Lepisosteus oculatus: one gene and its partners. The protein of the gene in region 3 purifies or fractionates together with the protein of the main gene of each other region. This does not show direct contact. Links are inferred from orthologs where the notes say so. Each region holds a gene or a part of one and is shown on either strand. Other genes may lie near its edges.

Region 1 (10,341 bases), on a different chromosome or scaffold from region 3:
GTCCCATCTTATAACCCTGTATTTCCAGCTTTAATGTCTACATCTAGATATACTGTATATCTATTTCTACGGTGCTTTGCAAATAAATTCAGATCCTTTCACAGCTCCACATTGCTTTAAAGGGTGACACTTTGAAGTAGCAAATGATAGCTGTTTTGTTCACAACCTGCACCAAACATTCAAAGCAAAACAAACAGAAAAAAAGTAAATAATGTAGATAAAATAAAAATGGAAATTTCACGACTGCATAAGTTTTTAAATCCTTTACAACAAAGCATATACTGTAAGTGAGAATCAGTGCAAAGAAATATTGAGTTCATAGCTCTGAATCATTATACAATCATCATATTGCAGTTTTTAATAAAATACTAAAGATTAAAAATGTGTAGGCATATTATTGTTATTTTCACATTTGTCATGATGTTAATCCTAACATTTTAATGGAAGCGACGGGAAAATGTTTCCTTCCTTTTACAGTAGGTATTTAAAGGGTTCATTACTTTTGAATGGGGAAGTACCTTTTTATATTCCAAATGGCAGAACAATGTGAATATAGAAAACAAGTATTCGACCAGTTTAAACCGCCTCTGAATGCTGAAAACTGGCAAAATGAAAGACAGTAAAAAAATCTGTTGCCAGTTGACTGGCCTTCCCACTTCATCTGCATCACTTCTTTGTGGGTATACTAGGACATGAAAAAAAAAAGTCTCTTTTATAAAAAATGTATGACAGATTGTTCAGGTGGACCAAGAAAAAATAATGTGCTTTTATTGAATTTTCCATCAATTAGTGCCACGTAAAAACACAGCAGGGACAATTCAGAAAGATTGAAATAGAATAATGTTCAGAAAGGAAGATAAGAACCTTAGAATAAACACAGCCATTTTTACACTACTCCCTTCCATCCTAACAGCTGTGCTATGGTAAATAAAAGGATTCTTTCTACAACCTGCATTCAAACCTTCTTGGGCAAACTCCAGACAATGCTGTTCACATGGATCATATTGAGAAGCTATACATAGCGCGTCCAATAATTGCTATCAAAAGGCAGGTACTGCTGTGTTTGACAGGAACACTCAACAGCAAATAGGTAACATTCATACTTTCATGTATGTATGGGTTGAATGTATTCATCCAGACCTGTGAACACAAATATGTTTTTCAGCACAAGCTACATGTCCTAGGAATTTCAGCACACGATGTGCCATTTTAGCAGAGCTATTCTTAGATTTTACAACAAGAGAGTACCGTCGCAAACTAAAGCCTTTTTACAAATTACATTAAAACTGAGACTAAACACAAAAAAGTGGTTTCTCTAAATTTCAGTGTTGCAGCTGAAAGATACAAAAGATTTAATGTCACAACAAAACACTACAAAATGTGCTGAAAACAAATAAAATAGAGAGACGATAAATCCATGCTAGGACAGAAGTATTTGGGAAGCTGTCCACACTCTTTGCTTCCTGGACCACTGGTGGTCTTCCTTGTGTTTTATACCAGTTCTTCGCATCTTTCTGAGGATGTGTTAGGCATCTTTGTAACAGCAGCCCTGGGGATGTACAGTTAAGTGGCCAATCCATAACTCAAATCTTTTTTCAGAAATGTCTTTGAAGACCTTGCAGAAGACTTGGGTTAATTATCCTGCTGGAGTAGGAACTCCAGCCCAATTATTAAGCTCTTGTGGCTCTAGATAACACCCCACAGTGCAAAACACCTCGTTATTTTGTTGCATTAATTGATGTCTCTATTATACAAAGGCCAGCCTTGCCTGTGGAAAAAAAGCAGATGTGTACTCCACTATGTTTTCAACAATAGGCGTGACAACCTTTCTCTTTGTTTCACCTCCCTGAACACAGTTTCTGTCTTAGTGAAAAACAAAATCTGTTCAGACCCTGAAATCTTGCTTCTTCAAAGTCAAATGCTTTGCGGTTTTATGTTGCCTCCTTGCTTTCTCATATGGTCTTTCATCTTGTTAAAGATTTGTTCTCTCACAGGTTTCTCATGGTAAAATGCCGGCCCATCTACCTAGGGAATTTAGCTCTGTTCTAACCGCTGTTTACATCCAACCACAAGCAAATGCTGAGGCGGCGCTTGGTGAACTGTACAGCGTGATAAACACAAACACGAAAGTTTGAAGCCCGATGCCGCATTGATCTTTATGGGGGCCTGCAATCTCGGGAAAGTTTTGCCAAAATTTCACCACGGCGACCAGAGGCTATAACACCCTCGACCACTGTCACATAACCAATAAAAGGGGCATATCAAGCTGCGCTCTGACCACTTAAAGTTACAGTTTAGGATAAATAACCTTGCAAATCAGCTGGTTCACAGTCTTTGTCAAGCAGTCTTAGCTGGGCTCTGGGCCACACTGAACCAGCCTGACTGCATGTCCTCCTGTGTTCATCTCCCCCATCTTAACGTATTGTTAAGCATAGAGATTCTTTTTAGACTTCTGCGTCTCACTGAAAGCTCTTTAGCAGAAGAGGTTTATTTCTATTAATGTAAGGCAGATGTTGCAATTGACTAAACTCTTGAGAAACCTGAGGGCAGTGGGTCATCATAACTGAATGTTCTTTCTGGGGTTGTTAAAATTAGTCATCTTATCAACAATAGATCACAGGAAGAGAAGTGTTAACTACTATAGTAGTAACACTCGAAGAAGATGAAACATTGTGTCTCTTTGCTTTTTAGGATGAAATAGACCGTTACTTGTTCCTTTATAGTATTAACTATGCCCATCACAGGAGATCACATATATCAGACTTTGAAAAGGTTGCTGGGAAGGAGAAAGAGTGACTAACACAGAGCTTTGACAATATTGGCTTCGGTCATGAGAGTTATTTTTAAATAAGGTGCAAATATTGTCAGCACATTTGAGATCACACTCTCTGTTGCATCTGTAAAACATTTTTCAGTACTGGGTTTGTGCCTAGATATGCCCAAAAATGTTGTTTCCTCCCACCATATTTCTCTTTATGTGGAAGAAAAAAGGTTGAGTCTAAAAGCTCAGGATACCATATGTTGCTTCTCTCCTTATGCTCTTCAATTAAATACCTCTCTGTCAAAAACACCTGTGTCTCTGTTTAAAAGGGAAAAGCAATCTGAGAAGGGATTTCATTTTAAAAATTCAGATATTGATGTTTTTTCTTAGCATCCATATTGACAGAAATATGATTTTTCACAAGTCAATATTTTTTACAGTTTGATTGAACCTGACAATAGGCAAATTTTACCTAAAGCGTCTTAAAAGGAAAAAAGCAAAAAGGCCTAAAGTAATTTCCATACTTTAAAATCTTTTAAAAACCCATAAAGGCCATTCTGTTCAGTAGTCCCCCACTGTAGAATCCTGTGCTGCTTCACTGGATATTTTAATCGATACATTGTTTAGTTTGGCTTGAGGTAAGCCCGTACCATGCAGAAAACATGGTTTGATTTCGAATTCAGGTTAATTGCCCGTTGCTGGGTTTTGTTTATGGGGTTGACACTGTAATTTGGAACAAAGTTTATAAATTATTTATTTTTGTAAACCAACAGTAACGTTAACTTGTGTTCCAGAGCTCAAGAAAATTTCGTGTCCAGATAAGATATTTAACATACAAATGATACTCAAGCAGGTACCCAGTGTCTGGCCACTGTGCTATACCCTCCCACTGGTTGAGTAGTCTATATTGTGTAGATTCAGTGGCCTCTAAATTCTGCTTCAGGTGTTTCCAATCGCTTCCTTCCAGTTTTCTTCTTATATTTCGCTTTTAGCTACTCTATCAGACTTCCACTATCTGTAATGGATGATCTCTAAAAATTAATAATGTGTACTGCTGTAGTAGAGAATGATACATTTGCAAAACTATTCGCAATTCGCAACACTGGTGAAATTGTGTTTATATCCGGTAATATTCAATTAAACGGGAAAAACCCGAGAAGACAGAACTGCTTTAGAGAATATGTCAGTACATCCACGTATTAGCCCCATTTTCTCAACTTTTTAAGATCTATATGTTCATCAAATATTGCTTTTATTAAATATCTTTAAAATACCAAAACTCCATTACAATTAAAAGCTCGTGATCACGTCAACGTGATGAAAGTTAAGAAATCATGAGAGAGCCAAAATATGTATTAAAAGTTAACACTTTTAAAAAAAATATATATATATCGTGTTAAAATAAACAAGCAAAAAAATTAGGCAACGCATTTTTCAGTTGCTGTAGCCGTTGGCTTGTCAAGTAAATCAAACATATTTTTAACTAATCGCTTTAAAATGCTGTGTGGGAACAGTTCGTTTCGCCGTAGACGAGTCTCATGCACTTACTGTACCTTTCACATCTTGTGCAGGACAGTCTTCTCGGAACTCAGCCTGCTCTGCTCTCCCGTTCACCGTGAAATAAATGATTTTTGCTGCCATTTGAAGAAAACAGCTTTGCGGGTGGGAATCATTCGCTCTCCGGTTCCACTGCGAACTGCTGTTGAAGACTTCAAGCATCACGTTTAAACGAGGGACACCTCTGTCCTCTCTCTCTCTCTCTGTTTCCAAAACACAGTCTGCATCTTCTGCAGTTTTCTTTTCAATGAAAAGATCTCCCCTCCCACCAGAAGCTGCTGCTGGATCTGGGCAGCTTCTGCAAACGTATTATTATAGTATTCCTTAAACACAACACAGTGAGCAAGCACAGTGCCATGCACAGCTGCTGCAATGCAGGTGACGAAGTTAGGTGATACCCCATAACCCCTAATCCCTAACACGTAACTACTAACCCCTAACCCTAAACCAGAGAAAATTAAATTCTACATTCTTAGCGATAAAAGAGTTCAGCACTGGAACTCAAAATCACAAGTAAAAGCAATTAAACTTAACACCAACCCTCCAAAAGTAACCTTAACATCCCCTCCAAACCTCATCCCTTTTCCCAGGTCAGCGGATACTGGAATGAGAGGGCAGGGGACTCAGAGCTACAGAAGCAGTATCAACCATAAACCATAACTACTGAGGCAACCTGTAGCCGGCGCCTGGTCACTGCCAGACGAACTCGAGACATTGCTTCATCAGTAGCAGGGGCCCGAACAGAACTGGTGCCAAAGCAATAGGGGCACCTCGACCAGTCGCCACTCATTTCCACAGAAATTGACTCCCTCATAGCCCAGGTATTCCTAACCCCAATCCTTCTCAAACGGAGGAGGGCATGAACTCTACCCACAACCCAGCATTAAATCTGAATCTGACCTAAACGCAGGTGGCACACAAACTTTAATCCAGCTACACTGGGGTGAAACAGGAAGGGCATGGTGTGGCTCAACACCAGTCAACCAATATTCTAGACTAAGTGTCAGAGAAACCACCGAGGGGGAGAAGAATAGGTCACTCCAGCACAGTAATCGGAAACTAAGGCGAGTGCAGGAAAACATTTGTTCAAATAAACGAGCAAAAAAACTATGCAACACATTTTTCAGTTGCTGTACCCGCTGGTTTGTCAAGTAAATAAAATCTTTATTTAAAAAAATCGGGTTTAAAATGTTGTGTGGGAACAGTTCATTTCGCCGTAGACGAGTCTCATGCATTTACAGTGCCTTTCACAGCTTGCCGCTGAAGACCTTAATCCTCCCTGTAGACAGGGGGCGCTAAAGAAGAAGAAAGTGTCGTTTCCCCCCAAGTTGCTCTATTCAGTTCTTGCTTTCTCTGGTACGAAGTGCAAAGAAACAACGTGGTTGTGGTGCTGCATTGAGTGGAGGAATAGGAGGAAAATAGTCCGCTTTAAAGAAAAGGTTGATCATTTTCGTCGACGATGACAGAAGGCAGCTCGGCCCCTGCTCCAGCCGCCCGGAACCTGCTCGCTCTGAACCCGAGCGAAGAGGCTGAATTTAAGAACAAAGTGCGAGAAGTGAAAAAGCGATCTAAGAAAGTAAGCGAACTCCAACCATCAAAGAAACAGAGCGTGTAAATTAAAAGGTCGAGATCAGATCAATCTGTATGTAATCGAGCGTTTTAAACTTTACGGTGTAGCCAAGGAAGTCATCGAGGTCGAAATGCGCTTTAATATTTCGAAATAAAATTGTGCGGGTGCTGTTCGGGGCATGTGTGACATGAAGGCGAGGAGGAACACAGTAGCAGCCTACGTGTGGCGTCATGTTACTGAAGCGAGAGCATTCCCTTTAAAATGTGAAGTTATCCGCCTCTAATGTGGGCTTTTTTTGTTAAGAGTTGTGTTTGTTGTTTCCTTCACTTTCTTCCTGATTCATTTCGGCAGCATGAGAGGCTGACCCCAGGTGTGATTTACCTCGGCCACATCCCCAATGGGTTCTTCGAGCCTCAGATCCGACAGTACTTCTCCCAGTTTGGCAAAGTTCAAAGGTTACGACTGTCCAGGAGTAAAAAGGTGGGACGTTTTAGATTACAGATGTGGGTTCCGTTATATAGGCATTTCCAGAGTTCTTGCATTGCAGTGCTGTTATTAAGCTTAACAGATGCCCTTATACAGGAGAACTTACAAAATATACGCTAATACGTAAAGTAAATACGGAAAAATCAGATACTGTTGCAAAGTAAAACCGTTTCATAGTTCCATAATGAATTGTCATCTGTAATCTCTAATATATTAGTTGTTAAGGTTTTCTTTTGTTTTATGCAGTTACTGCATCAGTTAATGTCCCTGTATGTTTGTGGTCTTGCTTGAGAATATCTACGCATTTACTTTTGCAATTTGGTAATGAACAAAATTAAATTTCTGTAAATGTTTAGTGTCGTTGGAGCCGTGGTAGCTCCTGACCGGAAGGTCCCGGGTTCGATCCCAGGGAGGGGCAAGCGATGGAGCTCTGATTCCTTCCAGACGGCTCCCAGGTCCACTCAGCCTGCTTTCCACATGAGTACCAGACTGGGGGTTAATCCTTCTGGGGGTAATAGACCCGCCGGAGCGTGGTGCTGACCACATCGCCTCCACCTCCAGTGTGGGATGATTGAGAACAATGGTGGCCCTTGCCCCCACATTCCCCATGGGCCTGGATGGCCTGAAAAGGGGACCTAACCTACCTACCTTTAGTGTCACTATTGGTCATTTAACAGAACATTTTAGTCCTTTAGCAAATGCAATAGCTTTTATGCATAACAACTATTCCTTCGAAAAGGAGCACTCTTAGATTATAAGGAGCAGAGAGTGTATTTTTCAAACTGCCATTGTGAAATGAATGTTTCAATCAACTCTTCGTCCTTAAAGCATGTGAAGCTATTTAACCTATTACTCTTCTCAGTGTTCTTAATAAGGGAACAAGAAAAATCATTCTTCTTCAATATACTGATTAAGGCGTGTGTGATCGAAAGATATCCATTAATTGGGCCAAAGAGCGCAACGGGGGTTCTGATGTGGGAAAACAAATGTGTGCTTTCTGACTTCATGTCTGTCCCTCGATCAGAATACATTTCTGCAAAGCACATGGACAAAAGGATTTTAAATGCAATTTTAAAATCCTTGCATCTGCTTGCTTTATTCATTCACCTTGTTCTTGGTTTTCAGACAGGTGGCAGCAAGGGCTATGCGTTTGTGGAATTTGAGTGCGACGAAGTGGCTAAGATAGTGGCAGATACGATGAACAATTATCTCCTGCGTGAAAGGCTCATAAAATGTAAGTAAGGGAGGGATGAAGTGTGTTTCTGGAACACTTGCGGTGATTGTGTAATGTGTATGTCCGAAAATCTCTCTTTTAAGAACAGAATTTTCTGAAAAGTCTTGACTTCTGTCCTTTTAGCCTGGGAAGTGCTAGATTATAGAAAGGCGGCGGTGTCCTTTTGGTGCCAGTTCCATTTTTCTTACATCAGTTCGGTCTCACCAGTGTGACTGGTTATTGTGGGAGCTCTGGTTGAGTTTGAGGGGGGAGCACAAAGAGATGGTTTGTTTGTTTTTTATCCACATAGAAATCACTCAGGACCGTTCCACGCACGGAGTCGGGGTGAACTTCTCTGTGCCTTGCTCCGCAGGTCACGTTATCCCACCCGAAAAGGTGAAGCCGGAGCTTTTCAAAGGAAGTCAGACTCCGTTTAAGAAGCCCTCGCGCCCGGCGGTCGGCCGCTACAACAGGAAGCGCACACCTCGGCAGAAGGCGCAGATGACCAGCAGACTTTTACAAAAGGAAGCAGGTTTAAGAAAAAGGCTGGCAGAGAAAGGAATAGATTATGATTTCCCGGGATTTGTAAGTCCGCTTAAAACTGCCTGAATAGCTCTATAATAAGGGTACTGCCTGTGCGGTGGTATAGTCCTAAAAACGTTCCTTGCAAAGTCTTCTCAACAGATTATTTTCCTTTTTTCTTGCTGTCTGTCTGTAGAATAAAAACGTCATCTCTGAATATAATTATCTACACTACTCGTGCAACTTTTTGGGGCCCTTTAGCATAACTCGTCTGTTAAAAAGTGATATTTAATTGCTGCTTTTCTAGTTGTTTTTAACTAAACAGGGCCTTTGTCACTGAGCTAATGCAGGGGTGTGTGGCTATCGCTTAACTCTGCTTCATCATGAAAGGGTTCTCAGAAGTTGAAATAACTGTACTGTGCTCTTAATATTTCTGAATGGTATTTTGTAAATGGCTTCATAATGTATGTTTTTTTTTTCTTTTTTTAGTCTGCCCAAGTATCCAAAAAGAAGAAGACCTCTGCAGAGAATTCGGCCTCCATGACTGACAGTCTAGTATGTTGTATTAATGTGTCTTTTAAAACACGTATTGTAAAACGAGTAGGAAACATGCAAAGCTGTACAATTTAACTCTGAGACTTGCATGTATGATTCAGTCAACCAACTCAAGGCACCATAATATGAGCCCTTAAGATTGCAAAAGGTTTCTTCTCCCCGCATAGTGACAGGGAAGATTATAAGATCTAACCTGTTATCAATTTTGGTGTGTTCTCTGTGACTTTTCCCTGCAACAAATTATTAATGTTCAAAGGGCATCCTGTTAGGAAGCTTTGTACTCAGCGTGTGTCTTTTTCTTTGTGTCTGTAGGATGTCACGCCAGTCTGCACACCAACTGTGTTGGAGAAAAGAAAGTCAATGAAAGTGGAGGACAGCGATGGTGATGATGAAATTATAATCAAGGCCACACCTGCACCAAAGAAGTCAAAAGGCAAAAAGAAGACGCGGTAATGAGGAACTAAAAATGGACTAATTTGGGCAATATTCAATCTTTAACCTGCTGTGGAAGTAAAAGATCTTCCCTTAAACTCTGTTTTTTAAATTGTTCCTGCAGGAGTGACTGATATTCCGCAAACAGGAAAGGAAGAAACCTTTAGAATTCATTTACTTCTCGTACTGTATTATAGTAGAACAGTACAAATCACTTTGCCTTCATATTGTACAATTTGTATTCTTGTGAATGCTAGCAGTTGTATTATAAATATATGAGTTGTAATCAGGAGTGTACCAGTTACCCTTTTTCTTATCCTTTCCTCTTTAAGAATAATTTAAATGATGGTTTGAGCTTCTAGCATTCCAGCATAGTGGAAGTAACTACAGGAAATGGTTAAAAAATGGAAACACAAATATGGAGTAAGTTGACAGGGTGTTTGGTCACCACATGAGGCCAGTACAACCTGTCTGGGTTGTGGCATTAGAGTCTTCCAGCACCTTGAGTTCTGCACCATTCTGCCACAAGAAAGTCCTTCAGCTCATACCTGCTTGATGGAGGAGGAAGCCACTGTGTCGGGTGTTGTTTAAGAATATCTAATGCTTGAGGAGGTCCAGATCTGGTAAATGCGAATTCCATGACTTCCGGATTATCTTGATCTCCTGTCCACTGGGAGACAACACATGCTCCGACGCCCCTTCCAGCAGGCAAGATGGGATGAAGCTCACCCGGTACCATTGAGTAGAAACTAGCATCGACCTTGCCTTCTAAGGGAATGAGTGTACCTAGGAGTTATGCTAGGAAAAACAGACCCACCAGGATCCTTTGCGGTCCTATAGGTTGACACCACACGTGCACTTGTCTGTCAGGAATACGGTGAAGGATGTTTCATCTGACCAAATCACATTTTTTTTTACTTTCCAATATCCAGTCATCCAATATCTGCGCTCTTCGCACCACTGGGCACGCAGACACGCGTTTTCACCTGCGATGTGAAGTTGGTACACTGCAAGCCGGCTGTGGTATCTCACTTTGTGGGGATTTAATGTATTTAATGTTGTCGAGTATGTGGTAAGTAGACTTTCAGAATCTGTGCACAGAACCAGCACGTTCAAATACGTTGCGTTTCCTGCAAATGTTGAGACCTGTATTTAAGTGGTAGAAAAACTGTGTTATGTTTGCTAAGTCCACAAGAGGGCGATCCATTCATACGTTAGGAAACGAGACGGTAGCAACGACGAGCA
Region 2 (9,953 bases), on a different chromosome or scaffold from region 3:
GCTGGGGCCCGCTTTCTTGGGCTTGGCGGCGCTCTTCTTCTTGGGCGCCTTGGCCGGCGCGGCGGCGGGGGCCGGAGCGACTTCTTCTGCCATCGCTGCGTCTCTGTCTGCTGTCGGACTGTCTGCGGCTCCGCGCGCAGGCGGAACTTCAAGGCCGCATGAGAACCGTGGAGACTCAACCGCTGCTGCTGCTGCAGCTCCGCTCCGCACAGCCCGCTCGCACTTGTGTTTTCTCCCCGCACAAAACTGCCCCGTAATCCTCACAAATACACAGAAACGAGTACAAGAGATGCAAAATGCAGAGGAAACCCCCTGGTCTTTAATATGCAGTTGAGTTACAGGTTTTTCTGTACAGTAATTTTGACAGAATTGCCCAAACTCCAACAACAGAGCTCACGAAAGGCGGTGCTCACCCGGCACTTTGTCGTCTATTTCTAGAATAAATGTACTTAAACCATCAGTAAAGATAAAAACAATGTTTAAATAATACTGCCGAGGCCGACGGTCATGTAACACAATAAAAGTGAATTCTGAATTATTTAAAACGGATGATTTATTTTGCTCTATGTTCAGTGTTATTAACACACTCCCGGACTCGCTGTTTCTAAGAAGGAGACGGACAAGTTTTGTCAAACTAGACCGTTTTATCCCTGTGAAATTCTGAGTATTTCGAGTTTTTTCACCGATACGCTTTTATAAAATGCTGTACACGCGTATTCTGACACTTTGTTTATCTCATAAATTTCCAAATCACTTCCTTCAAAGGCGATTCTTCAACGGGGCTTTAGTAAAGACTGCAACTCTCTACCGTCAATACCAACATTCCTGAAGCTCTTTCTAAACCTGTTACTTCGGATTGCAGTTCCTCCAGATCCTTCAGCATCGTCCCAGCTTCTCGGGAGGAGACAGTTAGCAGAAAGCCCGTGATATTACTGCTCGTACAAGACGGGCAGAAAAAAGCGGATTTTCAAATGCTTAGTTTTATTTTCTTTCATCTGGCTGGTGTGAACGCCCGTCCATTCCCCAGACATTTAAATTAATTAGTTTGTCTCTGGGGCTCACGGTAGGGCTAATACCAATTCAACAGGAACAGGGCACTAGGCTGGAGACATGCAGACTCCATACAGAAGGATTCTTCCATCCCGAATTAAAATCAAGACCTGCGAGGCAGCAGTTTCGGACGCTTTATTTTGAAACTATTAATCTTGATACTATTAATCAAATAGAATATCTACACTAATACTAAAGTATCCACACAGCTGAGTTGAAACAGCCTGAGTTCTTGTACTTAGTTAATTGCCGGTTCTTTTATACACAATTCTCTTTATTTCTTCAGACTGACTCCTGTCTCTTTAATCTCACATTCCACTGCCATGTGGAGGGGGTTTGTTCTCACTGGTTTCTTATTGTTCTCATTAATTCTTCAGTCTTGCTACAGGTTAATTTTGTTACAGTTCGTTACTCATAAACACCAAACTGCTTCAGCTGGTGTGTATATTACATACACCTAACAAGCATTTTTTTTAATCAGCTTTACCCAAAGAGTTGTGGGTGAATGGTGCAAGTTGTCCAAACAAGTCTCTAGACACAACACAATGAGATCTGTGTCTATTAGCGACTATCTACCTATCAATTTACTGTCTTCTATGATTCTATGCTTTCTATGCTAACTGGCTGAAAAGCTTATCAAAAGAACAAGTTCTAACCTGGACCCCCTGGAGGTAGTGGCTGAAAGGAGAATGGTGTCCAAATTAATGGCCATCATGGACAGCGTCTCCCATCCCCTCTATGACATGCTTGTGAGAACGAAGAACACGTTCAGCAGTAGGCTGATCCAACCACATGCGACAGGGGGCGCTACAGGGGGTAATTTCCTGCCTTCTGCCATCAGACTGTGCAACTCCTCCACTGTGTGTCTGGGCAGGGGCAACATTGACCTGTTTTTGGGAATGAAAATGAATTTCTCTGTTTACAGCTGGTTTTCCTCTTTCCAACTGATTTGTGTGCAATATATGCTTTGTGTAATATATTTATAATGTGCAATATATCTTTTTGTATACTGTACATTCTGGTTTGTCTTACATCTCCTGTAATGTGAGCAATTCTATATACTCCATTTTTAAAAAGGTTTTACTGCACTTCTCACTGACTGTACTTACTGTATTGTTGTAATATTGTATCATTCGTTACATTGTCCTGTGGTAACAGTGCCAGTCTGCTGGTGCACTGCAATTTCCCTCAGGGGATTAATAAAGTATCCTGAAGAGAGTTCTGTTGTATATAAGAACAACGTCCTTCTTTCAGATTTGATATAAATCAGTTGCAATGACTACATTCTTTTAACCCCGGTTGCTTCTAAATCAAAAACACAGATTAAGCACAGGCACATCAGTACAAATACGTTGTTTCTTCAGACCTTGGACTGTATATTTTTTCATGCATTCTTGATCTTACCTATATTTCATTCTCTCTCATTTCATAATTACGATATGCATCGGGTTTAAAGAACTGACCTTCTTTAGAGATTTTTAATAAGGGGTAAGAAGTTTTTAGGTCTAAGTGGCTGCAGTAAAGGTCAAGAACCTCTGCTTTCTTTATTATGGGCTTTTTAAGAGAAACGATTCCTTCTCTCCTGCTCCCTCTGCTGGACAGCTGTGGTCTCTGCTCCCTGAGCCTTGTCCTGGTTGAGCTGTAGCCTTACAAACAGGGACATACTTTTCTATCGGACCTGTCCAGCACTTAACTTGGCGAGGTACACTTGAATAATTTGAAACAGCGGTTAGCCGCTTACAGCCACTTGGTCAGAAGAGGAGCTGTGTGTGATTTAAGTCAGGGTGAATTTGAATCGAGCACAGGATACACTTTACACAGAATTGGGGGAAGTAAACAGCAGACTGATGGACAATTTTAACGTTCATCCTAACAAGCTTCTCGAATTTAAGCACATCGGAACGACAAGCGAGAATTATACGATATTGCTTAAAGAACCAAGTGGGAAATGTTTTTTGTTTTTTTTTATTAAATCAATCAAATCCAAGTTATTTTAGTGCCATTGCACTATATTGTCTATTTCCACGGTTTGAAGCAAGAAGGAAGAAATCATGATTGCTCTTTTACGGACTCTGTGGGTGGCTCTTAAAAGAGCCTTTGGGTTCGCTGATCCGGGACGGGCGGGCCGGGTTTACTTGGAGCTGGTGTACTTGGTGACGGCCTTGGTGCCCTCGGACACGGCGTGCTTGGCCAGCTCTCCGGGCAGCAGCAGGCGCACGGCGGTCTGGATCTCCCGGGAGGTGATGGTGGAGCGCTTGTTGTAGTGCGCCAGGCGGGAGGCCTCGCCGGCGATGCGCTCGAAGATGTCGCTGACGAACGAGTTCATGATGCCCATGGCCTTCGACGAGATGCCGGTGTCCGGGTGCACCTGCTTCAGCACCTTGTACACGTAGATGGCGTAGCTCTCCTTCCTGGTCTTTCTGCGCTTTTTGCCGCCCTTCCCGGCCGTCTTGGTCACGGCTTTCTTGGAGCCCTTCTTGGGAGCGGATTTCGCTGGTTCAGGCATCTTCTCAAATTACGTACTGCGTACAAAATGATGAAACTCACGCCTCCTGCAGCCCCCTATTTATAGCGGCTGTATGCAAATCATCTCGCTCAGCTGAGAAGGAGGCTCATTGGTCAGCTAGAGAGCTGCTCTCCTATTGGCTGCGCTCTGCGCCAATGAAATTCAAACGGCTGAGCGCCTGAGCCGCTCGCTCTGACTCCAGGCGCCTCTCTCTCCCCTCCGCCCGAGCACTCAGGAACAAAGGGCCGTGCGATCCGTTTTGCACTACGTGCAGATTTTCTGAAATCCGACTCTCATGCCGTTTATATCCCCTATCCTAGAAAACAATGTGCTTGGCGTAAACTGTGCGATTTGTGCAAACTTGGGAGTCAAAAGCCCGCTCGCTCTGATTCCAAGCTACTAGGACAGCAACTTTGCTGCAGTTTGCGCTCCGAGGTGCACTAACAGCCCTGACCTCTAATTGTGTATTTTGTTTTTAAATCTCACGATTCAGTCGCCTTATATTTTCTCATATTTGTGACTGAGATAGTTCGATCATCATAAGAGCTGATTGTTTTGAAGCAAATCCAAAAGTAATTTAATTTTCATGGGAGAAAAAAGGACCTTTGTTATTGGGGAGTGCGCTTATACACTAACCTATTTTAAAAGATCTTCACTATCAACTCAATAGCGTGTTTTTTTTAAGTAAATAAAATAAACAGTACCAATTCATGTATTAATAGTTTTTATTTAAGGTCTAAAATTAACTATCGTTCCACTGATATGTATTTCTGCTCCGCTAAACGCAGATGGTCTTAACAGCATTAATCTAATTCATATGAAATGCAATCTAGGTACCACTGCAAAGATTTTCCTTTTCACTTTAAAAAATAAAGGCTGATATGCAAACCAACAGTACATCCTTTAAGTGGGACACAATCCTCAATCAAGTCACCTGATATATTTTGTCATACATGTAAGAATTCATCTGCATTTAATTTTTTTTTTTTAATTGTGTGCATGATAAAGGATGTGTAGGGGATAAATACACCGGAACTCTTGAAGTTATCATTTAAAGCTGCTTAGCCCGTTTATTTGTTGATTCACTCATATAAAATCAAAAACCTTTCCGTTTTAACGCCTCTTTTTCGGAGCCGGTTTTCTGGGCGCCTTCTTCGCCGCCCTGCCTTTCACAGCTGGGCTCTTGCCCTTATCAGCGCCTCGCCTGTCTGCGACCTTCGTGGGTTTCTGCCCGGTGGGCACCTTGCCCGCGGCTCCGGCCGGCTTGTTGGTCCTGCCATGACGCCCCGCCGGCTTAGTCTTTGCGGCGGCCTGTCTGTGTCCCTCCGCCCCCCGCTTCGCGGCTTTCCGTGCCCGCTCCGTCGTCGCCGCCGCCGCTGCCGGCTTCGCCCTCCTCTCCCTGGCCGGGTTGAGCGCGAAGGAGCCCGTCGCGCCTCTGCCCCCGGTCTGCACCAGCGTCTCCCGCCGCACCAGGCCCCTGACCGCCGCGGCGACCCGCGTGTCGTTCCTCTCCACGTCGTAGCCGCCGGACGCCAGGACCTTCCTCAGCTCCGCCATGCACAGGCCGCCCCGCTGCTTCGACGCGGCCACCACCCGGAGGATGAGCGCGGAGACGCTGCCGCCGCCGCCGCTCCCTCTCTTCCCGGCCTGGGCGCCAGCCGCCGCCGCCGGCCTCTTGTTCTTCAACCCGCCGACCGCGGTTTCTGGCAAAAAGGAAGTGAGAACGACATTAGGCGAGAGGGCGGTGTCTAGACATCGTTTTCACTCTTTCCAAAACTGCACAGGCGCTGTGACGGAACACCACGGCATCATAATGAATTAAAATGACAGCGAGAGGCGCGGGTGTTTTGTTTATGTCAGCCGTGCTCAGGGGCGGCCGGCTGGGATTGGGGGGGTCACACTGACTGGGCGCGGCGCCGGCGGCCTCCGGGCCTTCGTCCCGCAGCGCCTTCTTGAGCAGCCGGCCGAGGCGCTTGGCTCCGGCCTTGCCGAGTCCCCGGCCGCCCGGCTCCCTCCCGGACATAGTGTTTCTGGAAAAGCGTCAGCCGAACGGACAGAGCCCAGAGCTCCGTTGGCAGACATGGAAATGTCCCGTCGCTCCCAGTGAGGCAGCGCTGCCGCCGGCAACGTCTCTCTCCGTCCGTTAGGGGATTTGTTTCCGAACTGCGGTTGCCTGGCGACGGAGGGTCCCGCGTGCTGGTGCCCAGGTGAGATGTATTTTTCTTTACGCCGGGACACCTGCAGTTGATAACTGCACCCCGAGCCACAGCGCCTACCTGAGGCTTTTGGGAGCCTTAATAATATAACTTTCATAATGCATGAGAGACAAATCAAGACTAAATAAAGACCTATTTCTGACTGTTTATAGAAGCATTTTACCTCTATGTACATGTACACTCTAGGTCTTTATTTTTTTCATTGGGTTTTTCTTTTAAATGATTATTATTAATTATTATTGTTAGTTTCCCGATATGTTCAGTGTCTTGGATTCACTCCACCCTGCTGACCGGAATTTATTTCCTTAGGTTAATTCTTAGTTTCAGGTACAAGAGTTCTGTGGTTTACAACAGCTTGCTACAGCGAACCTTTGTAAATATGTTTGTCTTAATGTTTTTTTTTTGTTTCAGAACCCTAAATTGTAACTCTAACAGATCTTTTCCCACTTTTAATTGAGTGTGCACAGATAGTACAATCCAGGATCATCCAAATAAAGAAAGTTCGTACGTGCCGGCGGTCTCAGTTCTGTTAAAATAACTTAATGACTGAATTTATACTTTTGTGTTCAGTTCAATCTTCTGATCAACGTTGTTGAACAAAGCAGCAGCAAGTTATAACCCCCCAAGTTAGTGAGAGTATCTACGTACGTCTTTTAATCTAATGCATGAAATATTTTTCGTATTAATGTATTTGAAAAACGTGCTGCCTTCAAAACCTTTGCCTATTAATACCCGCCTCGTCTCTTGCCAAAACTGTTAGTTTGAGCTCTTACAAACCACTTCAGCTTATTAATGGCCGGCCTTTGGAGCGCGAGAGGTTAAAAAAAGGCTCTTAATACGTCACGGAGACCCGCTCTATACCGGCGTGTGTTTTGGTAAGCGCTCTGCGTGATGTCATAAAGGATGCGACGGAAATAGCTCTCTCTGCTAAGCGACGGAAACACGTGCCAGTCTTTGCGCACATTTCTCGTTTTCGTTCGTGCTACTACGGCTGCATGTGCCCGGACTTTTAATACTTTAGAGCTGGATGATTCGCCTTTTACAAACCAGTGAGTTTTCTTTTTACTTAAAGATATAAAAAATCGAGGGACACAGGAGGGTGGGGGGAGAGAAATCTTGACTGTGCGGTTAAAGTCCTGTTACGATTGTAAACGGATTCTTGTAAAACTTCAATACGAAATCGAACTATTGAGATGTTTATTTACTACCGCCGTATCCTCGTTAAAACATTAAGTGAAACGATAGTAGTAAAGAAGAAGTGTTAAGACATAGAAAAGGTAAGGTAATAAAAAAAAACCCTGCCCCGATCAAATTTAACTTAGTGGCCTGTAGATTGATTAGTGATCGGAGGAGGATTTCTTTAAAAACGCTATGGAAATGTGTTCGCTTTTAGTCAGCAACTAAAATTAAAACGAAGTACTGTTACTAGAAGCTGAAGTACTAGTACCCCGTGAAATTGTGATAGAGGTAAACCAGATTCCTATCGTGCAGCGGTTTCATCACAGTAGCCTGCAACCTATCAAATGTGAAATGTTGTTGGTATTTTAATAATTGATTTAGACATCTGATATCGCTTTGCTTTTTCTTGTAGATTGCAGGTTTGTAGACGTTCTAGTTATTTCTCTCTGAACTACATCTGTTAAACAGTGTTTTCTTTTTCTTAACCAGACGGATTTTATTTGTAAGAAATATCAAGCCATGCGAATCTGTAGGATTTCCAGTATTCGAAGTTTTGCTTTGCAGGATCTGTCATGTTACGTTCGAGATCATATGTCTAAATTCATTTTATTTTCGTTTGTATAGGCTGTGATTGGTTAATTTAGAGGTCAGTCATGGGGCGGAAGTTAGATCCCACCAATAAGCAGAAGCGAGGGCCAGGACGAAAGGCCAGAAAGCAGAAGGGTGCAGAGACAGAGATTCCCAACTTCTTGCTGGAGGGTAAGCAGCCATCCTGATCATTATGACTGTGATGTACTGGGTGGACTAACATGAGCTCCACCTGCTTAGACTCCCACTGACAGAGCAGGCTGGACTGGACTGACTGGACTGGGAGCTGGATGAGTTCTTTACTGGGATTATAATCAGACTCACACTGACACTGACAGAGCAGTCTGAGACTCTCCAGGCTGGACTGGACTGACTGGACTGTGAACTGGCTCAATTGTTAACATATTACTCTACCAGTATTAGTATTATTATGTCAGAGTCACTTCAGTGTGAGATGTGAGACAGTTGTTTTAAATAAAATAATCACTAATATAATTTGAAAATGTGTTCCCTTTTTTAGGTGATAGTGCGTCTAAAAGACTTGGAAGCAGAGCAAGGAAACGGTAGGAAATATCATCACCACTACTGTTCTTGGTATTTTAAATTGCTGTTCCCCTGCTTCTTGCAAGTTGTGATTGTTGCTATTGTTACTTCTCCATAGTGCTGTGAAGCGTTCTGTTCCCACCTCCCAGCCTAAGAAGCCTGAAAAATCAGAAATAGAACCAAAACAGACAAAGAAAGGTAATCAAATCTTAATGCTTAAAACAATGTCTGCTGAATAAACAAAATGTATTAGTTGTGTTTCTAGGGTCTATATTAGGGTCTGTATGAATCTCTGTGTGTGAGGAGTGTCTCTAGGGTCTATAGTAGGCTCTGTATTATTCTCTGTGTGTGAGGTGTGTCTCTAGGGTCTATAGTAGGCTCTGTATTAATCTGTGTGTGTGAGGTGTGTCTCTAGGGTCTATAGTAGGCTCTGTATTATTCTCTGTGTGTGAGGTGTGTCTCTAGGGTCTATAGTAGGGTCTGTATTAATCAATTTGACTTACTCAGGCTTCAGCGATGAGAACAGCGAGTGGTTGAAGCCAGCGAAGCGGAAGCGTCCCGTGGCTCAGTCCGACAGCGAGTGCGATTCGGAGGCTGAGGAAGAGGAGGTGCAGGAAGGGAGCGAGGGAGAAGCCCGGGAGGAGGACGTGGGCGCGGGAGGGGAGGAGGAAGCTGAGACGGATGACGATGAGATGGTAGACGACTACGGAGTGGCGGAGGACAGCGATGAGGGAGAGGAAGAAGGCAGCGACGGGGAGGAGGTATAAGCCTGCCTGGTGTTCTCCCTTTAAGATTGGTTAGAAGTTAACAGTGGAGGTGAAGAGTTTACTTCTTTGGTTTGCAGGCACTGATGTCTTATTTTATAATAAGACATTGTCTCTCTTCCTGCTGTGCCCCCCCAGTTGCTGCCGATCGAGAGAGCGGCAAAGAAGCAGAAGAAGTTGGAGAGGGAGCTGGAGGAGGACAGCGAGGAAGAGGAGGATGAGGAGGAGGAGACGGGGAGCGAGGGTGACGCCCCACTTGCGGCTGCCGACGAGATGGAGAAGTTCCAGCTGCCCACTTCAGAGGAGAGAGCGAGAGAGGGTGGGCCTGCTTCCTTTGGGGGGGGGAGAAAGCCGGATTTCAGATCATTTTTCTCCATTCCCCTAGCAACAGCCTCCGTTTGGCTGTCGGGAATTGCCCAGCTGATTTTGGATTTGAAATAGCTGTATGATTTTTTTTTTTAATTCGCTCATCCTTAACTGCTGGTTAACCCTCACCCCCTGTCCCTTTTCTCCGTGCTCTCCCACTCAGGCCTGCTGCCCCTGGACCTGCAGTCCATCCACCAGCGGATTAAGGACAACGTCGACGTCCTGGGACACTTCAGCGCCAAGCGGGAGGAGGGGAGGGAGAGGGGGGAGTACGTGGCCCTCCTCAAGCAGGATCTGGCCATGTACTACAGCTACAACACCTACCTCATCGAGCAGATCATGGACCTCTTCCCCCCTGCGGAGGTCAGTGCCCATGGGGAATTGAAGGGTCTGGCTGTGGGATCTGCTGAGCTGAGGGGGCCCGTTTTTTTCAGCTTGGGTTCAACCAGCCGCTGGCCTTCCGCCTACCAGACCCCCATCCTGCCTGTGGAATTGGGGGCTGGCGAATGAGTAAGCAGACGGGAAGTACGAGCCTCATCGCACGAGGCAGACCCTTGCGCTGCCTGCCGAGGTGTCACGGCGCTGTCCGCCGTTCGCGAAACGGGCTCCATTTCGGCTCTAGGGAACATCTCAAAGTCACATGTAAATGGTTGAAAGAGCAGAGCCAAGATGGCTGACAAGGCGCATGCTCTGTTCAAGTTCACGTTTATTTGTCATTCCAGCCGTATACAAGTATACAGT
Region 3 (10,372 bases):
GATCTCGGCGGACTCGTTTCGCGAGGCCTGCGGCTTGGTGGCCTGCACGCGCCGGAAGAACTGCTGGAAAATCCAGAGCAGCGGCTGGTAGTCCCGGGAACGGAACACCTTCGTGATGAAGCAGCCTCCCTTGGTCAGGAACTCACACGCCAGCTTCAGAGCCATGAGGGTCAGGTGGGCTGGGGGGAAGAGGGGGAGCGAGTCAGTCAGGGAGGTCGGGGGCAGAAGACCGAAGGGAGTGACGGATTGCAGGAAAGACAGCGAGCGAGAAATCTAAGTTACACCTGAGTACAATCGGGTGGTCACAGAGAGGGAAGGCAACAGTGGCACAGTGGCCCAAGGATATCAGAGAGTCACCTTCTCTAAACTCCTTCAAATCCAGACTCAAAACCTTCTTCTTTAGAAGAGCCTTTACTTAACTGGTTCCAGTTTTTACCCCTCTGCTTCTTCGTTTCTTAGTACCACCATCTACGGTCTCCTCTGTATATTGTAATTGTGTTTTATCTTGTATTCTTTTAATTTATTGTTGTCATTCTGTAAAGTGCTTTGTGAAGCCACCTTTAAAGGCCCTATATCAAAATAAAGTTTTTTATTATCGTTACTTAAGAAGACAGTGTGCATGTATGCTGGTTCTACAGACAGCTTTATGCCAAGTCTGCTTGTGCACCTGTTTTGGTGCGAGTCTCTGTGCGTCAGGTGTGTTTGTCTGGTGTTCGGAGAACCAATAGTGCCGATGCCAGTCCGCTGACCTTGTGAGTAGGCATCATGTTGCCAGTTGGCTCCCACGTTGGGGGCTCCATCATTCAGAACCACATCCACCTTCCAGGTCTGGAGCTCCTTCCTGATAGCCTAGCAGGCAGACACACCACAGTGAGGAAGACAGCCTTGCAGCCAGGGGAAACCCCCAGGGATCCCCGCCCTGGGTTCTCAGGAGATGACGCAGACGTTCACATTATGTTTATTTCCCTTACTTCAGCATAAAGGTTTAAATGCATAAAGGTGCCGAACAAAGGCTGACAAGAAAGCACTCTTGCTGAGCCACCTGATGTCAGTGAGAGTAGGTTGCCACACCCGAGAGCTTCTTCTCTGCAGGACTGAATCTCTCCTGCCTGACACCTGCACTTGTTAAGGCCACATCTTGATCTTTCTTTTCTTTCTGTCACTTTGTCTTCTGGGAACCTCTTGGCTGGGTCTTTATTGGACTTTGTTCTCAACTGACCTCCACAGTTAAACAGTTATTCTTATTTAATATTAATCTCACCATACAACATAATGGCTAAGATCTACAGATCAAGTCTGCTAATGGACCTCAAAACCCTGCCAGGAGATGTTTTTCTCTGTTATGTAAAATAGATCCTAATATATGGTTCTTGGGTGACTAGGCTGTTAGCAATGTAGTAAGCTAAAAAAAATAGCAGTTCTACTGTGTTAACTGCCTGATATCAATACCTTAAAAGGCTGAAAATCTGACTAAGTAAAATGTGGTATAAGTGCACTCTCTTGTCAATCCTAGTTCAATGTCATGTGTTGGGACACTTCACTTTCTAAAACTTTAATTTCAGGGATTTAACATTCCAAGCATGCCAGTATTTTATTAACGACACTACCAACACCCCCACAGGGCAGATAAATTCTCTCCCTCGCTGGGCTAGTTTCCAGATTTAAAAGGCCTTTCTCGACACAGCTGATGGACTAACTGCACGAACCACACCCCAGTCACTTGCTTAACTACGAATGAATTTATTAGCCAACACACCCTCTGGCACAGCGGACATCACAGGGTCATGTCACATTGGGTTTCACTTCTTTTAAGCTCTCCCTACCTGCCGGCATTTCTCAGTGGTGATATCCTCTTGCAGAGTGACCACGTTGGGGATGGGCTTAATGGGCACCAAGTCCACACCTGGAGTGCAAGAGGCAGAGAGGAAGAGAAGCAGAGAAAAGAGTATGTCAGGCAGAGGAGGAGACACACTCACAGTGGTTCTTCCACAGATCATTAGCCCTACAGCATATGCTGCTGTGCATGAGCTTACAGCAATAATTAACACAGGACTCTCCAGCGCTGGTCCTGCAAAGCCCCAATGCAGCAGGTTTTATAGATCACCATTAAATTGTCAATCTCTGAACACTCAGAGCAATGTGATCAAGTGAGTTGGTAGTTTAAATTATAGATTACTTGGGACCAATCCTAGTACCTCTCAACCCATAAAGATCACAGTTCTCTTAACTGAACATGATAAGTGCTTAAGTTATATGTTATATTAAGTCTCCATTCTGTAAGAAAATGTGAGATGCCTTTTTTCCCAAATTTTACAAAAGCTATAAAGTACAACCTGCACAAGAATATGTTTGAGTAACAGGGCTTTGAGCCAACTGAAAACCAGAAACAGTGTGACTCACGTGAGGTCATACACGCACACTTGTACAATGTGGAACAAGTTAATAAAAATGGATGACATTCAATGACCCAATAATACCATGCCAGTTTTTCTAGTATATCCCAGGACTGGATTATGTTAAAATGCAGGTAGCATATGAATCCTGTTGAATAGAAACACACATATAAACCACACTTGTAGACACAGAAACAGAGCTGAACTCACCAATAATGAGGCTGGACACTGGCATGAATTTGGACGCCACCTGCAGCCTACAGAGAGAAACAAGATGAGAGAAGCAGAAAAACGCAACGCCACAGACACATAATGCAATGCATTCGCAAATCCTACTACATTCCATCTTGGACACTAAATGACTTCATTATAATCAGTAGTCCACTCAACCAGCCTATAATTACTACTGTTTCCATGTCTTCACTCACTGAGGATTATAAATCACCCATAAACCCTGCAGGAACACAGGGATAACTATCACTGCTGAAGGGAAGCAACACTGGGCATTGCTCCAGGGACTACAGGCAATTAATAACATCACACTAAATACAAGTACAGTACCCTAAACTTACTTCAGAATTAATGTCTTAAAAGTGCAAACTGTGAAAGTGAATTTCACATACCCCCTTACTGCACTTTACTAATTAGCACATTTTTCATTGGGAGATTACCACACCATCAGAAATGTACACAGTGAAATTTCTCATGTATAATAGACATGTAACTAGGCAACCACTTCACCAATATCTCCTCACACACAGCACGTAAAGAAGCTGAAGCAGGAAACTCCGAGTGTAGGCTTGTTTTATGGGACAGGTTAGAGAGGTACTGCACACTTCCCTACTCCCTGGCACACTGAAGCTGAAGTCTGAGCTGCTGTGTAAATGCACATGGGTTTGTCATGTTGCACAAGAGCATTTAGTTCGTAATATATTCACATTACTGCCTCATTTCTGTGGCCTTATGCTCCTTGTCCTAAGGTTGCAATTATGCCGTTACTATTTTCAGCGACCCCAAGCAAATGACCCCCCCCCCCCAAGTTCAAGGGGGCACCTATCTTCGCCCCCCATGAACATTTAAACGCACAAGTGAGCCAGTTCCACGCTACACTCACCAGCCGCCCGGCGCGGCACACAGGTCCAGCAGCGCCCGAGCTTTCTGCAGGAACTGGAACTTGCGGTTCAGCTGGATGAGCTTGAAAGAGGAGCGAGAGCGGTAACCTGGAAGTAACAGCACAGCCTAAGACTCTGAGGGAACACCGACGGGGCACACGACACAGACACAGACACAGACACAGCAGCAGCATGGACAGATCATCAGAACAGCATGCGACGCAGTCTAATCTCTGTTTACCTGCGAGACAGCAGCTCTCGTCGCCTTAGCTAAATGATCCCAAAATCAAACCCTAGGCAAATGAGCCCTTAATCCCAGTAAGACTGATACTAATGATTTGGAGCACGGATAGTTCCCGGAGACTGCTGGATCACAGAAAACTGTTTATCTTAGGTGTCTGTAGAATTTCAGAACAGCTTCCTAAGCATTAGGAAGATAGTGCGTTATTTGTAGACAGTGGTTATGCTATATTCTGTTTTAATATATGAAAAACGCAATGTACGGCCATTCGATGGGCATTTTAAAGAAGAGCCCGGTTCGCATGATACATTACAGACCAGCCGACTTCTCCTGACAACCCCGTCTTAAAGAGGCCACACTCGTCTTCCCGGCCTCCACCGACAAGACAGAAACATACTCACCCGTCTCTTTAGCCAAGTGGTAGAATTTATCTTTCCTGGTCTTTCCGACTTTAAGTTTCTTTCCCATTGCTCCACCGGTGAAGGGGCGTTAAAGAGACAAATAAATATATTCTAGTCCGAAATTTCTACGAACTCCAACAAGCTCTCATCCGACAATCCACCACCGAAGGAAAACAACACGTGCACTTACTGCGCCTCTATTCTGCGTCACTCATGTTGTCGTCATCAAAAGACTGCCGATGAACTTTAAAAAAAAAGAATTTTCGGCTAGGCGTTAGACATACTGTACGGCTAATTCCTTGAATGGGAGCTTGAAGCACTAAGAACAAGATGTTTGGCAGGGTCCTTTCCATCAGTATCTGCACATCATTAATTGAAAAATATTAAGAGTTGTTTAAAAAGCTTTAGTGAAACAACAATTTTAAACCAAGTTGAAACAGATAATAATAATAATAATTGATTACACTTATATAGCACTTTTCTGGACACTCCACTCAAAGCACTTTACAGGTAATGGGGACTCCCCTCCACCACCACCAATGTACAGCCCCACCTGGATGATGCAACAGCAGCAGGCTCATAGTGCACCAGAACACTCAAAATGCAGGAGAGCAGGGTGATGAAGCCAATTCATAAAGGGGTATATTAGGAGGCCATGATTGGTAAGGGGCAATGGGAAATTTGACCAGGACACTGGGGCTACACCCTGGGGTTTTTAATGACCACAGAGAGTCAGGACCTTGGTTTTACATCTCATCTGAAGGACAGTACCTGTCCTTGTGGGCATTAGGACCCACAAGGACCACAGGGTGAGCACCCCCTGCAGGCTCCACTGACATCTCTTCCAGCAGCAACCTTAGTTTTTCCCAGGAGGTCTCCCATCCAGGTACTGACCAGGCTTACACCTGCTTAGCTTCAATGGGTTGTCAGTTGTGAGTTGCAGGGTGATATACTGTAGCTGCTGTCTATGATATACGCGCTATGATAGTTCTACTTATTATGACACACACAAACAAGATGCTTTAGTAGATGACTACTAAGCTCTGAGTAAAGAAAACAGTTAAAAATCAACCAAGTTGTTCACGTTTTCAATAAGCTTAATTGAATATGAGATAATTTCCAATGAACTACAGGGTTACAAGGATTGAAAAACACTTATTGTATTTTAGAGAACCTGCTTTGTTTCAATTTAATGACAACCACAAGAGGGAAGCAGTGATTCATGAAATTAATACTGAAATGCTCATGATACTATCACAGAAGACATCAGTATGAGTAATCATGGGAGGTGAAGATTACAGAAACAGAATTTTTACACACATATAAAAAATTGTAAAGGGAGGAGGACAGTAGGGAGGAAGCCAGTTCATAGATGGGGATTATTAGGAGGCCATGATTGGTAAAGGCCAGGGGGAAAGGATGATGGGGTTACACCTTGGCCTGGATTTGGAGTTAAGCAACAGTTCTAGGATAACCTAATCTGATCAATTTCCATGTTGTCAGTTCTTAAAATGCAACACCAATTTAGAAAATTTGAACCCCATGGTGCTCAGATGAGGGTTGGAAAAGCTGGAGTTCACTGTGTTATTTAACAAAGGGATTCTTAATTCTTAAGACTTGTCTGCCTTTTTGGTTTATGCAGAGATACCCTTTCGGAACAATTTAAAGTGACCACAAGGTGATAAAGATCAATTTTTAGTTCAATTGGCTATTCTGGATTTGAACAGGAGCAATGCCAACATTTTGGTATCAACGTCAGAGAGTCTGATGTTGAGCTGGAGTGAAGCATGTGGGGAAGCTGCTGATATTTGTCAAGTTTCAAGTCAATCAGTTTCCGAAAAAGTTGAATTTAAAAAAGGCTTTTCAACAATGCAGCTCAGTCCATTATCTTGGTAGATGGTAGGTGATGTGTATTGGACAGCAATATTATTGTCACATGTCAAATAGAAGGCACTTGGTTGGTACCTGTCATTTTACACAGGGATCAGCTATAGGTCTGAACTTTGCAGATACAACAGCACAAATGACCAGTGGTGGTCTGTGGCTGTCATGGTTTGCATAGGAGCCTATACAATCATTTCACTGTATTTTCAGCAGTTTGTATTAGGGGATGTGTTTCTTAATGGCCTGGAAAGACTTTGAAAAGAGTTAGTTGTATCCTGTAAGCTGCAAGTCTTGAAGCATATTTTGAGTACAGATGAAACCTGTCAAGTTCCACTTCAGCTTGTTGTTTGAAGGCAGTTGTTTGAATCTAGCTGCATGCAAAAGTCCCATTTTTGCTGTACAGAATTCCGCCATTTATTAATGGAGTGCTCACAAGTGATTCTTACTAAGTCTGGAGTTAGTAATCAGGTTATGAACAGCAAGACTTCGTGTTCTGGGACGCCTGTCAACAACAAAAAGAAATTGTGTCCATCTATGTTTATATAGAAGCTCTTTTGATGCTAGAATTAGATCTATCAAGGCTGGAAGTGATTGGCCTTACATTTTTAAGGAGCTTTTTAAGGAGTGGGTGTAAAAATGATTGCAGCAACTTGTTTTGCTGGTGAAATTGTGGACCATGTCTCAATTCCATCAGTTGCAGTGGATCTCAGGAAGATGATTTTGAAACCCCTTTCAAATGCAAGGTTTAAAAAAAAAAAAAACATTAAAAATGGTCACAATCGCCGTGAGTCTCCACTACACCGAAGCCTGTTTAGTCATCATCATGACTTCACAATATGCAGTACAAAGATCGCTGGCTGCTAATGGTCATGTCATGAAATTGCTGACAGAAAGCAAGGGGTTAGGCCGCAGGCAGGGTGCAGGAATGGCAGGTGCTGCAATTATCTCAATGCTGTGGTGTTGATGTGATCGCCCCGGGGTTGTGCCCTTTCACACAAAAGCGCCAGTCCCATGATGTCGAGCGATGCCAGGGCTGATCAGCGAGTTTCTCCCAGCGCAGGGCTGAGAGGCGGACGAGGGAAATGGGAGCCCGAGGACATGAAGAAAGGGGGGCGCAGGAGAGAGGGAGCCACGCTGTGCAGAGAGAGACCCCCCTCCCGGCAGCGCAAGATGGGAGAAAACTGTCCGTGACTGCAGGGGAAGAGAGGGCATGGAAAAGGGAAGAAAAGCAGGGCGAAAGGGGTGTGACAGCACCAGAGGAGCGAAGAGAGGGATTATCTTCTCTCACATGGTGCGCTCGATCATTCCCACTATTGTCGGCAGAACAATGAAGGCCCCCGATCCAGGGCTTAAAAAGGATAGATAGAGCTGGGCAGGCTGGCTGATAACGACTGTGGTGCAAGACGGCGATCAAAGAGAGGCGAAAAGGTATGCCCATTACATTCTGTGTGCTTGTCTGTCTGTCTTTTCACAATTCCAGTGCAATTCTAGCAGCTGGAGATGCCAACAGAGGAGAGGTTTGAGACACAAACCTGTGACAACTTAATTCCTTCCTTCATTGGTTCAGACCTTGAAGTGACCGTAGTAACTGCTTTGGATTCAGGCACTTAAAGTTACCACAATTAGTGGACTCAGTGGTGTTTAAAACCTTAAGCATTTTCCAAACTAGTGAAAGTCACTATTGACCAACACGTGTCTCTGAGTCATTAGAGAAGCTCTTCTTTTTCCAAGCTTGTTGATTCAGCCCTGAGCTTCAATAGCATGGCTCTGTGGCTTGCCCTAGTTTGGTCAAGGCTCTGTTTAGAAAAGTTCTACAGTAGCTGTTCTCAATGTTAAATATTCCTTCTCTTATTTTCAGTATCTCGAATCCTTGTTTCATTAATGACTTGAAAGTGGTGCTATTGGTCCATTTGGCAACACCACTCAAGATTCTGAATAGGAGTACACCTGTTCCATTATCCCTAGGCTACAGAGGTTCAGTTCTTTTAGCTTGTCTGTCCGTTGCAAGCAGGGACTAGCTTGACTGTTTCTTTCAGGGGAGCTGCCTGACAGTCCATCCATTTCCTAACCACTTTATCCAATGCAGGGTTGCTGAGTCTCTCCCGGCAATTCTTCAGGTCCTGTCTTGGCCCCTAGCATGTATTCTGTGCGCCTCTTCAATGCTTATGTCCTGCCGGGCCAGGGTGTTTGTAGGAATCGCTGTAAGGAGTGGTGATTTTAAGAGTCATGCTGGATCATCACACTCACTTCCATCTGAAAAAAACAAAAGTTAAACATTGATGAGCTGTAATCACTTTGCATTCCAGACTCCCTTTTCATAATATAAGGATTTTAAACTTTTTTTCCCCCTGTGCTCACCAACACCATGTCTAGATATCCGAACGCTTGAATGCACACCCATCACAGTTATCCGTGAGCTCTAGGGAATTTGTGAATGTACTGGCACAATATTTAGTTGTAACAGTAAATCGCGCGAGTTTAAATTGGCTGTTAGGAATCAATCGGCAGAACAAGGAGTCTTCATAAGGTTGAACAACTCACGGAATACATTTATCAATACATAAAAACAATGTGTACTTAAAAGTATTCATAATATCAAGGTGAAAGCGAAGAGGTACATTAAAACAAGGATACTACGTTTAGTACAGTATAACGTTGATTACACTAAATTTCTTATCAATCTCACTAACATAATCAACATTCAGGCGCTCTTAAGTAGCTACAGCTACTTACTGTACATTGATTTAATTGATATTAACACATTCATATAACCATTTTATTCTCGAGAGGGTGAATATTCACTTATATTCATCCACATGGAATGTTAATTCGTGCAGAAGGATGGATAACAGCTGACTGGGTCCGTCGCAGCGCCGTTCAAACTGTGCTTTTTGGCTCAGCGCCAATCCAGTACTAATCCAGGCAGTTCTGGAAAGGGGGAGCTGCTCTAGAATCGCGCTGACAGTCGATTCCCTCATATGGATTGTGCGGGTTAGCGCTGAGATGAACTGGGACAAAGTCTGTGCACATCACTGCTCAGTCGGGTCGAGTCGGGGCGAGTCACAGTAAAAGGGGAGAAACTCGGTTTGCTCAAGGCGGAGCGGCTGCTCGCTGCTGCTCAATAATGCTCTATTCAGGCGTGTCAACGGAAAAGTCCGACCATATTGCTCCGGCGATCAAGCGGGCGCACGGTCCTGCTGCAGGCTAGACCTCAGGCAGAATTGTGGTTTTACATGCTGCGCTTCGGGAAAAAGTTTAAATCCCAACGTTTTGACAGCAGGTGCAGCTGGCACGTGGTCCTCCTGTCGGTGAGTCAAGTAGATTCTGCAGAGAGAGGGGGACGCAGTTAGGGGTGATGCACTGATTCTTAACTGGGGAAAAAGTGGTGATTAATCATGAAGCTACCCACATCCTGCAGTCAACCTAATTGATTGGTCATCTTGCTGGATGAGTGACCTTTTCCTGTGACTTTTGGGATTATCTCCAGATGTGCCTATCCCACTGCCAGACAACCTGGCACAAGCAGTGGACATCCATCTTTAAGGGGTGTTGACAATGGATCTGGACTGTCCTGGGAAAGATCCTTATCCGAGAGATAAGCCCATCTCTCATTTTTACTGGCTGTAGATGCTGATCCCTTGTGATTTCCACAGGGCAGCCATCTTAGTTCTTGCAGATGCTTTTGAACAACAGGGCATTGGGGTAGGGGAAATGGTGAAGAACCAGTCATTTTCAATGTTCCTGCTATCCCAAGATGGGTCAGAAACACAAAATGAAAAACAAGTGAACACTAGAATGATCAGAATCAGAGGAGCAGGTGTCTGTGTACCAGGTGGCTACCAAGCCAACGTACCAATTACCTGATGCCCTGACTAGGTCCTATAGCTTACGGTCTCATCCAGAGTATTAAACATGTGTTTAAATCAGCTGAAGAGAGCTCACACCCAGCAGATGGACTTGACTGTTGTTAATTTTCTGGGAGCACCTTTCTCCTGCAAGGAAGCCTGACTCTTCCTCCCAGGTGGGGCTGTCAATAAATCAATAGGATCATAGGAATGTAGGAATGAGATTCTGAATTTCTGCATGACTCCCTATATCTCCTCTTCACTCCTGTGCTCCTCCGCTTTCCTTCCTAACTCATGTCCTGGCTCCATGAGCATTCTCCCTACAATTCCCTTTGCATTCTTATAGAAAATAAAAAGAAAAACTAAAAATAAAAATTTGTAAAAGAAAAAAAGTTTTAAATCAACCTGATTACTTTTGTGGTTGCGGTTTGTGTTGATGTTTTGTTAAAGCTCCTGTCCATCTTGCCTGTCTCATAGACACTCTCTCTGTGTGAGT

The links.
Region 1: the proteins of ftsj3 (region 3) and nifk fractionate together in Homo sapiens (co-fractionation; 3 studies listed by BioGRID, with this or other methods). This does not show direct contact. The link is inferred for Lepisosteus oculatus from reciprocal best matches to the Homo sapiens genes FTSJ3 and NIFK.
Region 2: the proteins of ftsj3 (region 3) and nop2 fractionate together in Homo sapiens (co-fractionation; 3 studies listed by BioGRID and IntAct, with this or other methods). This does not show direct contact. The link is inferred for Lepisosteus oculatus from reciprocal best matches to the Homo sapiens genes FTSJ3 and NOP2.

The regions. Positions count from the first base shown.
Region 1 is NC_090707.1:4,287,901-4,298,241, reverse strand, and holds nifk (MKI67 FHA domain-interacting nucleolar phosphoprotein), read left to right. Parts: upstream 1-5,662; 5' UTR 5,663-5,777; coding exon 5,778-5,894; intron 5,895-6,239; coding exon 6,240-6,368; intron 6,369-7,499; coding exon 7,500-7,608; intron 7,609-7,960; coding exon 7,961-8,172; intron 8,173-8,598; coding exon 8,599-8,664; intron 8,665-8,976; coding exon 8,977-9,117; 3' UTR 9,118-9,386; downstream 9,387-10,341. Other genes in the region: high affinity cGMP-specific 3',5'-cyclic phosphodiesterase 9A, read right to left, coding at 4,315-4,480.
Region 2 is NC_090718.1:3,595,707-3,605,659, forward strand, and holds the start of nop2 (28S rRNA (cytosine(4447)-C(5))-methyltransferase), read left to right. Parts: upstream 1-5,673; 5' UTR 5,674-5,763; intron 5,764-6,704; exon of another isoform or gene 6,705-6,821; intron 6,822-7,575; 5' UTR 7,576-7,604; coding exon 7,605-7,710; intron 7,711-8,059; coding exon 8,060-8,102; intron 8,103-8,200; coding exon 8,201-8,280; intron 8,281-8,589; coding exon 8,590-8,843; intron 8,844-8,984; coding exon 8,985-9,165; intron 9,166-9,375; coding exon 9,376-9,575; intron 9,576-9,953. Other genes in the region: histone H1-like, read right to left, coding at 1-93; histone H2B 1/2, read right to left, coding at 3,182-3,556; histone H1.2-like, read right to left, coding at 4,670-5,259, 5,462-5,579. UniProt on the Homo sapiens protein: S-adenosyl-L-methionine-dependent methyltransferase that specifically methylates the C(5) position of cytosine 4447 in 28S rRNA. Required for efficient rRNA processing and 60S ribosomal subunit biogenesis.
Region 3 is NC_090708.1:19,037,929-19,048,300, forward strand, and holds the start of ftsj3 (pre-rRNA 2'-O-ribose RNA methyltransferase FTSJ3), read right to left. Parts: upstream 4,338-10,372; 5' UTR 4,215-4,337; coding exon 4,148-4,214; intron 3,614-4,147; coding exon 3,508-3,613; intron 2,651-3,507; coding exon 2,604-2,650; intron 1,904-2,603; coding exon 1,824-1,903; intron 850-1,823; coding exon 750-849; intron 180-749; coding exon 1-179.